Bombyx mori: one gene and its partners. The protein of the gene in region 1 binds, or shares a complex with, the protein of each later gene. Links are inferred from orthologs where the notes say so. Each region holds a gene or a part of one and is shown on either strand. Other genes may lie near its edges.

Region 1 (3,062 bases):
TCCTCCTATCAATGAAAGCTACACTTCAAATGTTACGCTAGTCAAACCACATTTGGTAAAAGCAGAGTGTTCTGATGGAAGACTCTTCCACCATATGTTGACCCTTTGGAGATTCAGTCCTGGTCTAAAAAGAGAACAGCAGTCGTGTGTTGTGGACTTCCAGATAACATTCGAATTTAGATCAGCTATACATTCACATTTATCTAATTTGTTTTTTGACCAAGTTGCTCGACAAATGGAAGGTGCTTTCATTAAAGAAGTCGGAAGGCGCAATGGGCCGGCAACAATGCAGCCTAGAAAGTTACTAATAAACAATCACACTTTGAAAACTTGACGCTTACTAATTGCAAACCAAAAAAATTAGTTCAATTCAGTGTACATAATTATTGAGTATTTATTGTGATTACTTTATGTAAAAATTTGTGAATATTATATTTTATCTATTAGTCTGTTAGAAATGTGAGGCAGAGCCATTGTGATTTAATGATAATAAAAAGATAAAATTTAAAGTGAAGTTTTATTTACATTTGTCCACATTGAGATATTGTTACTGGTATTTTAGGTTTATTATTTGGTCCTGTTGGTACATTTTCTATTTTCCTCATGACAAGTAATCCATCTATAACTCTACCAAATACTACATGCTTATTGTCTAAGAAATTACATTTTGCACATGTGATAAAGAACTGACAGCCATTCGTGTCTTTACCACTATTTGCCATGGACAATAACCCTGGAGAGTCATGTTTCAAACCAAAGTTTTCATCTGCAAAAGTGCTTCCACCATATATGCTCATAACGCCTGTACCGTCTCCCTAAAATGAATAGTAAATATTAATAAACTTCCATCATGTTCAGTTAGGCATCGTTTTATCATAAACAAAACTTAATACGTACATTTACGAAATCGCCACCCTGAATCATAAAATCTTTTATTACTCTGTGAAAAGTAGCTCCTTTGTAACCTAAGGGCACACCATCCCGCCTGTATTCACCGGTACAAAATTCTCTGAAGTTCTCACTAGTTTTTGGTACTACGTCGGCGAATAACTCGAATATCATACGACCTATTTCCTAAAATAAACATAAATATTTTATAAACATAAATTTTTGTGTGTTCTTTTAAATCTAATAAAAAACAATAAGTTCGGGGAGGTATTTACCGTTGTTCCTACAGTAATGTCGAAAAACACTACTGGATTGTTAGGATTCCTAAGTTGTGACTGTATTTGGTTCCAAGTAGGCATTTCAATGTGTTAATATTGAAATTTTTACTAAAACAACATTACATTTGTGTTAACAATTTAAAACTTCTATAAGTTTTAGTTTGTTTGATGTTTATTGTTACCCGGCTGTCAAATTTTGAGGTTATACTTTTGACATCCTTTCCTTGACATTAGGTAGCTTACAAGCCTATTTGTCCAGATCTAAAAACGGAATTTCTGGTGACTTCAAAGGACAAAACTTCACGTTTAGCGAATTTGTTACATTTTAAGATTATAGCAGTTTCTTCTATTTCGGCGAATCGTAGATAATAATAAAACTATCCTAACCGTTTAATTTCAATTATTTCTAACGCTTAGAATAACTACATAAAGTATTCGTGATCACAGACGACTATGGTATTATTCGTCAACAATTGTATATTGGGCGGGACTTTTTTTCGGGGAAGGACAAAGTCGTGTAAATTATTGTATTTCGTAAATTGTGCGTTTCTTCAGATTTGAACGCCATACCTATCTTATAAGTTTTAATGGAACCTTATTTATTATCTAACAAATACCTACGGTGATGTCTTTCTTAATTCACTTCCTTAAATTTTATCCCATGAGCAATTAATTTAATTCCATTATTCCCCTTACCTAACATACATTTAAATTTATATATATTATATTTATATTTATTTAAAGGTTACAGTTTTGTGACAAGAGTATTGAAATTTGTATGGTCTATCTCCTTTTGCCCGTCCAATGAACAAATTATAGATAATACAATAAAGAATGAATTTCAAACAATCAATCAAAGACTGGGCCAGGCCATAAATAAAATACAAAAAAATTCTAATCAAAGACTGGGAAGTGGGAACAGCAATTGAATTAAAGAGAGGTAAACTATTTTTTATAAATAAAACTCTTTTACGAGTTTTTATTAAATATGGAAAGTAATGACCTACCTATTGATTATTATCAAATACTAGATTGCGATAGAACAGCAAGCCTTGAAGAATTGAAGAAAAGTTATCAGCGACTCGCTTTGACATTACATCCCGATAAAAATAAAACTGATGATTCTGATAATAAGTTTCGCCTATTACAAAAAGCTTGGTCAGTTTTAAGAGAACCTAGCACCAGGAAACAGTATGATGCTACATTAAGTTGCCATGAAAATAGTGATCTATTGCTTTATGAAACAGTAAGACTGTCTGAAATGGTGTTTGACAGTGATGAAAATGTGTATTTATACGATTGTAGATGTGGTGGGGTGTATGTGCTTAATAAAAGTAATTTTGTGCAATCTAGTGTAATAATTGGATGTGATGAATGTTCATTTTCGATTCAAGTGAATAGATAAAAAAGTATACATATTATTGCAGTTTTATTTATTTATTGTTTTATGTTTGGCTGATATTAAGTTTTCATCGGAACGAATACTTACAAAGTGAATGCCAACAACCACCACAGTGTAACTTAAAACTTTGGGTCGGTTTCATTTCGTTTACTTTTTTATGTTAATTAATCTAGATTTCAAAAAAACTTAGTTACTTTATGTAATCATTTTAATTATGTCTGATTATGAAATATTTGAAATTTAAAGTATAAAGTTTAATTATATAAATATAGTATTATAATAAATAGAGTATAAATATTGCAAAGTTCCAAAATATACATCTATATAGTTATCAGTATAGTTTAAAATACAGACATACAATAATCTCCTTCTGATTCTAATATTTAGTCATTCATTTTTTCCAAGTCCAATTCCTAACCATTTATTATTATTATTATAATTTTCGGGCGGGGGCCGAACCTCCTACGAGGTCCCGTGCCTAGGGGGCGCACGGG
Region 2 (2,821 bases), on another chromosome or scaffold:
GTACTTCTGCGGTAGTAGCTAATTCAATTTTGTATAAATTCAGGACGAATATGTGATAATACGTACTAGGCATGAGTAAAACCTTGTTCTGCTTCTTAGACTGCAGTTGTTGTTTTTTGGCCTTCCCGCTGAACGGGGTCTTCCGACGTGCTTGGGGCATGACGAGTAACTCTGTTAATTATGGACAATGTTATTATGAAGTAAACATCTTTACAACTGTTGAACTGCAAGTACAGTTTTAATATTTTTCTGGGTATTTTAATTATTTTATTGAATATCACGTCATAGTATTTTACCATTATACTTTTTCTCGCTCTGATGACCAGATTTGAAGATACAAAAGTAACGCTTACAGGTGTAAGTGTAAACTCAAAAAATGTAGGTACTGGGTAATGTATTATTTATCAAATATACTAAACTAATTGATCGTAATAAGCGATTAAGAATCTGATTTTCAAAAACCGTAACCGATTTTTAACCGTAATTAAATCAAGAATTAATAAACTTAACTAATTAATAAAGAGAAAAACTAAAATTTGGAACACGAGGTCTCCTTGGAATATTATAATTGTACAGAAATAGTTTCAAACTTACGTTAGACTCAAAACAAGAAATCTATTCCTAATTTCTCACTGAAGGGCTTGAACTTATTATCTTTTTACCTATTTAATTGATTTTCGTGTGAATATGAAAATTATTCTACCGACCGGCTAACAATTGAAAACATTTTTTTTCACAGGATTGACAATTGACAGCTGACCGACAAATTAAAGGCATTGAACTCTGTTTTTTTTTTCAAATTTAGGATATTTTCTAAGGGATTTTATGACCTAGTAACTAAAACTTTTAGGTCAAATCTTATTTTAATTTATTTAATTCTTATTTTTACGAAAAATGATAATATAGAGTGAAATGAAATGAAGATGAAATGAAGTGAGATGAAATTAAATGAAATGAGATGAGATGATGTAGGATGAAATATAATCTCAGTAAAATGGTGGACATTTACTAAGACTTTTCAATTGGCTCTTTGGACGATCCCAACAAGCTACGTCTAGCGGATTTGTTTCAATTTCCCACACTTGTGCACTTTCACAGATATTATACAGTTAAACCTGAAGAAACAATAAATAGACAAAATAAAACAAATCACACAACTTCACTCCCCGCGTTCCCGCCAAAAAGTAAAAATTTATGATAATTTTGACAGCTCACAGTAAGGATGCTAAAGTCATTGACTTTGGATTATCGAACATAGATTTATTCTCATGGAACTAGAAATTGATAGTTGCATGGACAGTAAGCTGTATGGTCAAATTAAAACAAAAAAAGTTACATTACATTTAACTATTAAGTTCAGCAACAAAACCCTTCAACACCAGTTTCGATACGTTCTTTTTTTTCATCATTTATCCTATTGAATGCAATTTTTGTAGACGGGTTCACCTTTAGAATAAATTGAAACCAGGAATGAGATTTCTAATTATTTATTACTAATACAATGGTGTGCAACGTAAATTGTTTTATTATTATTCATCATCATCACAAGATTCACTACTACTAGAACTGTCCCTTAACTCTCCAGTTGGACTCGTCTACTTGTAAATTCTTGTTCACAAACTTCATTACATTACCATTGAAGCAATTTTCACTTCTTCTCAAATATTAAGTGTATTATCTGTGCGTCTTCTGACAACTGAGCACTGTCAGTGTCAACCTAAAGTCCTAAAGTAACCTAAAAAAACAAGAAGTTGACAATACACCAAACAACGCGAAAGTAGGAAAATAAACTTCTAATACAAATAAATAATAAACTTCAAAACGAAGTTGATCATTACATCAAAATGTTGCCGCTATCTTTGTTACGGACAGCGCAGAACCACCCTATGCTTGTCGAATTGAAAAATGGCGAAACTTACAATGGTCATCTCGTAAGCTGCGATAATTGGATGAACATTAATTTACGTGAAGTTATTTGCACGTCGAGAGACGGCGACAAGTTCTGGAGGATGCCGGAATGTTATATACGTGGTAGTACGATCAAATACTTGAGAATACCGGACGAGGTCATCGACATGGTGAAGGAGGAGACACAGGTTAAAGCGCGCGGTCGTAACGAGGTTTCCAAGGGACGCGGGCAAAACATGAGGACCGGTGGCCGTGGTGGTAGCCGAGGCGCATTCGGTAACCGCGGCAGAGCACCTCCACTAGCCCGTGGCGGCGGGAACCCGCGACCACAGAACAAAAATAAAAATAAAATGTAAGATAAGTTTTTTAATAAATTAAGTTATTTGGCTAAGGAATAGTTTTGTTTCATTTAAAGTTCAAAATTCCTCCATACATGCTGGTGCAAAGCAACCATATATTTGACCAAATCCAAGATTATTTATTAGTCATAATCCTGATGTAGAATTCATTGAAAATCAATAATATCTAAATAATTTGGAAACTGCAGATGCACAGGTAGTTATGAATTCATCAATCCATTAATATAAAATATTTAAGCTACCCATATCTCTGTTAAATCTAAAATGGGATACAACTTTATTATTTCTTGATATTTTAAGAAAATACATTTTTTTGTTTTATATCTTTAATTGGTTTTCACACTATTCAATTCGTGTCAATATATAAAAAAAATCAAAGTATACTGAAATCATTTATTTACAAAAAACGCTTAAAGTAATAATACTATTGTATAATATGGCAATACCCATTAATGAAATGGTAAAAAACAGAGTAAAAAAAAACAGTGTAAAAGCAATATTTTAATGATGATCCTTGAAACTTGATACAGATAGAGTTATCACATTTGAATAGA
Region 3 (2,164 bases), on another chromosome or scaffold:
GAGAACGGCTAGACCGATCTGGCTAAATTTGGTCTTGAATTATTCGTGAAGTCCAGAGAAGGTTTAAAAGGTTCAGGTTTCAGGAAGGTTCAGTGTTTGGCAAGCAACATATTTTAATGATGCTTTTACAATCCCTTCTGCCTATGGAAAACTATGACATGGCCATCTTCAGAAAAAGTATATCTTAAAAATCCAAAATAACAGCTTTGTAAATATTTACATCCAAATTATGTACACTAGAGATCTAAATCAATTCTGGTTTGAAAAAAGGCTTAAGTATTAAGGAATGCAGCTATGTCTAATAATTATCAGTATAGTTTGATGTGAAAGGTAATAAAAACTTTTTTCTGTGATACATTTTTGAGAATGGTAAAAATATAGATGTTTTTTATTGATAAATTATTCTTTCATACTCTGGTATAAAACTTACATAAAACTGAAGAACTAGGTTATTTTTCGATCAAAGGAAACTTTCTTTTCTGAAATGAATATCCGGAGACCGCTACTAAAACACTATATTATAAGAATGATTTATTAAGAAACTTAAGCTTATATTAATATGTACACTTTAAATTGAAGTTGTAGGTTAGGTTAAGTTCTATCTTGTTGAAACGGTCGCCTCCTTTCTAGCGGCATCCTGGAGAAGCTGGGTGTCTACCTCATCAGCCGGCAGTTGTACGTATCGAACCACGGAGCCTCTTATAAAACAATTTTTCACTGATAACATATGAGGATACTTTTCAGAGTCAATCACGCTTATATCCGAAAGCTTTATATTGAGATATTGATCCACAGAATGCAACGTCCCACATATGCTGAGGTCATTTTTCAGCTCGACGACTACATCCTTACCGACTAACGATTTGAAAAACGAGTAAAACAACATTTTTCGTTTTGTTTGTTTGAAAACGCGCTGAAACAGTAATTTGGCTTGGGTTCTTCAATTAATGTCATTTAAAACTCAAAGTCAAAATCATAAAATGTCAATGCCAATAGCTTTTTGTAGCGGTGTGAATCGGTATTTTCCGTAATTTTGTTAGTTTTGTGCAGGAGCACCATCTCATTTCCAATGTCTTGCATTTACTACGTTTTCGTTACCTGTGCTTAAATTTTTAAAACAAATCGGGACTTTTTGGCGGGAACGTAAGGAGTGAAGCTGTGTGATTTATTTTATTTTGTCTATTTAGTGTTTCTTCAGGCTTAAATGTAATAATGTAATCTAATTTAATGTGATAATGGTGGTTTATTGACTGTTTAATATCTGTGAAAGTGTACAAATGTGGGTAAATGAAATAAAGCCGCTGGACATAGCTTCTCGAGATCCTCCAAAAAGTCCACTGAAAAAATCTCAGTCAATGACCACCATTTTACTGAGAATATGTCATCTCATATCATCTCATCTCATCTAATTTAATTTAATTTCATCGCAGTTGATTAATATCTAAAATTAATCATCTTCATTTCATGTCATTTCACTACATAATTGTAACATTTTTCATAAAAATAAGAATATTAATTAAAATAAGACATGACTTAAAGATCTTAATTACCAGGTCATAAAATTCCTTAAAGCGAAATGTATAATCTATAGCGTCCGCTAATCCCGTTTGAGCTTGGTTGAGTTGTTTAATTTTTTAAAGAAAATTGTGTTTTTTTATTGTTTTAAATCGATTTTAACACTGAGAGTAATGTGTCCACAAACAATCAGTACCTCATTTACTTAGTTCTTCGAAAAACTGTTGCTCGGACTTAAAACCAGATAGATAACCTCAAACGTAAACTTCAAAATGGCATCTGTAGATGAAATCGCCGACATTGTGAGTTTTTACGCATTAGTCGCATTAATTGAATATAATTAAAAACTAAAAGAACAAAGGTTTTCTTTTTTGATTTGATATTCCTGAATGTTGTGTAATTCGTTTATATAAGTGCATGTATTAGCAATCGATTGTTGTGTAGTTCTAAACAAGATAGTCATTTAGAAAAAAAAAAGAGGATCCTTAGTTTTATAGATACCGAAAACACGAGAGAGTTGTGACTGCGCTCCAAAACCGGAAGCCATTAAGTAACATTGACTTCGACCTGTAGTAACGTAAACTAATAATCAACCACTAAACCAACATTACAAGCGATTACACTGGAACCAGCTGTCTGCTAAGATCAT

The links.
Region 2: peptidyl-prolyl cis-trans isomerase H (region 1) and U6 snRNA-associated Sm-like protein LSm4 share a complex: the UniProt entries of both Homo sapiens proteins name them as parts of the U4/U6-U5 tri-snRNP complex. The link is inferred for Bombyx mori from reciprocal best matches to the Homo sapiens genes PPIH and LSM4.
Region 3: peptidyl-prolyl cis-trans isomerase H (region 1) and U6 snRNA-associated Sm-like protein LSm2 share a complex: the UniProt entries of both Homo sapiens proteins name them as parts of the U4/U6-U5 tri-snRNP complex. The link is inferred for Bombyx mori from reciprocal best matches to the Homo sapiens genes PPIH and LSM2.

Annotation. Positions count from the first base shown.
Region 1 is NC_085116.1:6,471,999-6,475,060, reverse strand, and holds peptidyl-prolyl cis-trans isomerase H, read right to left. Parts: upstream 1,588-3,062; 5' UTR 1,248-1,587; coding exon 1,164-1,247; intron 1,075-1,163; coding exon 898-1,074; intron 816-897; coding exon 522-815; 3' UTR 504-521; downstream 1-503. Other genes in the region: coenzyme Q-binding protein COQ10 homolog A, mitochondrial, read left to right, coding at 1-334. UniProt on the Homo sapiens protein: PPIase that catalyzes the cis-trans isomerization of proline imidic peptide bonds in oligopeptides and may therefore assist protein folding. Participates in pre-mRNA splicing.
Region 2 is NC_085117.1:3,991,991-3,994,811, forward strand, and holds U6 snRNA-associated Sm-like protein LSm4, read left to right. Parts: upstream 1-1,477; 5' UTR 1,478-1,844; coding exon 1,845-2,264; 3' UTR 2,265-2,303; downstream 2,304-2,821. Other genes in the region: guanine nucleotide-binding protein-like 1, read right to left, coding at 67-160. UniProt on the Homo sapiens protein: Plays a role in pre-mRNA splicing as component of the U4/U6-U5 tri-snRNP complex that is involved in spliceosome assembly, and as component of the precatalytic spliceosome (spliceosome B complex).
Region 3 is NC_085129.1:20,029,924-20,032,087, forward strand, and holds U6 snRNA-associated Sm-like protein LSm2, read right to left. Parts: upstream 960-2,164; 5' UTR 887-959; coding exon 599-886; 3' UTR 519-598; downstream 1-518. Other genes in the region: protein suppressor of forked, read left to right, coding at 1,788-1,817. UniProt on the Homo sapiens protein: Plays a role in pre-mRNA splicing as component of the U4/U6-U5 tri-snRNP complex that is involved in spliceosome assembly, and as component of the precatalytic spliceosome (spliceosome B complex).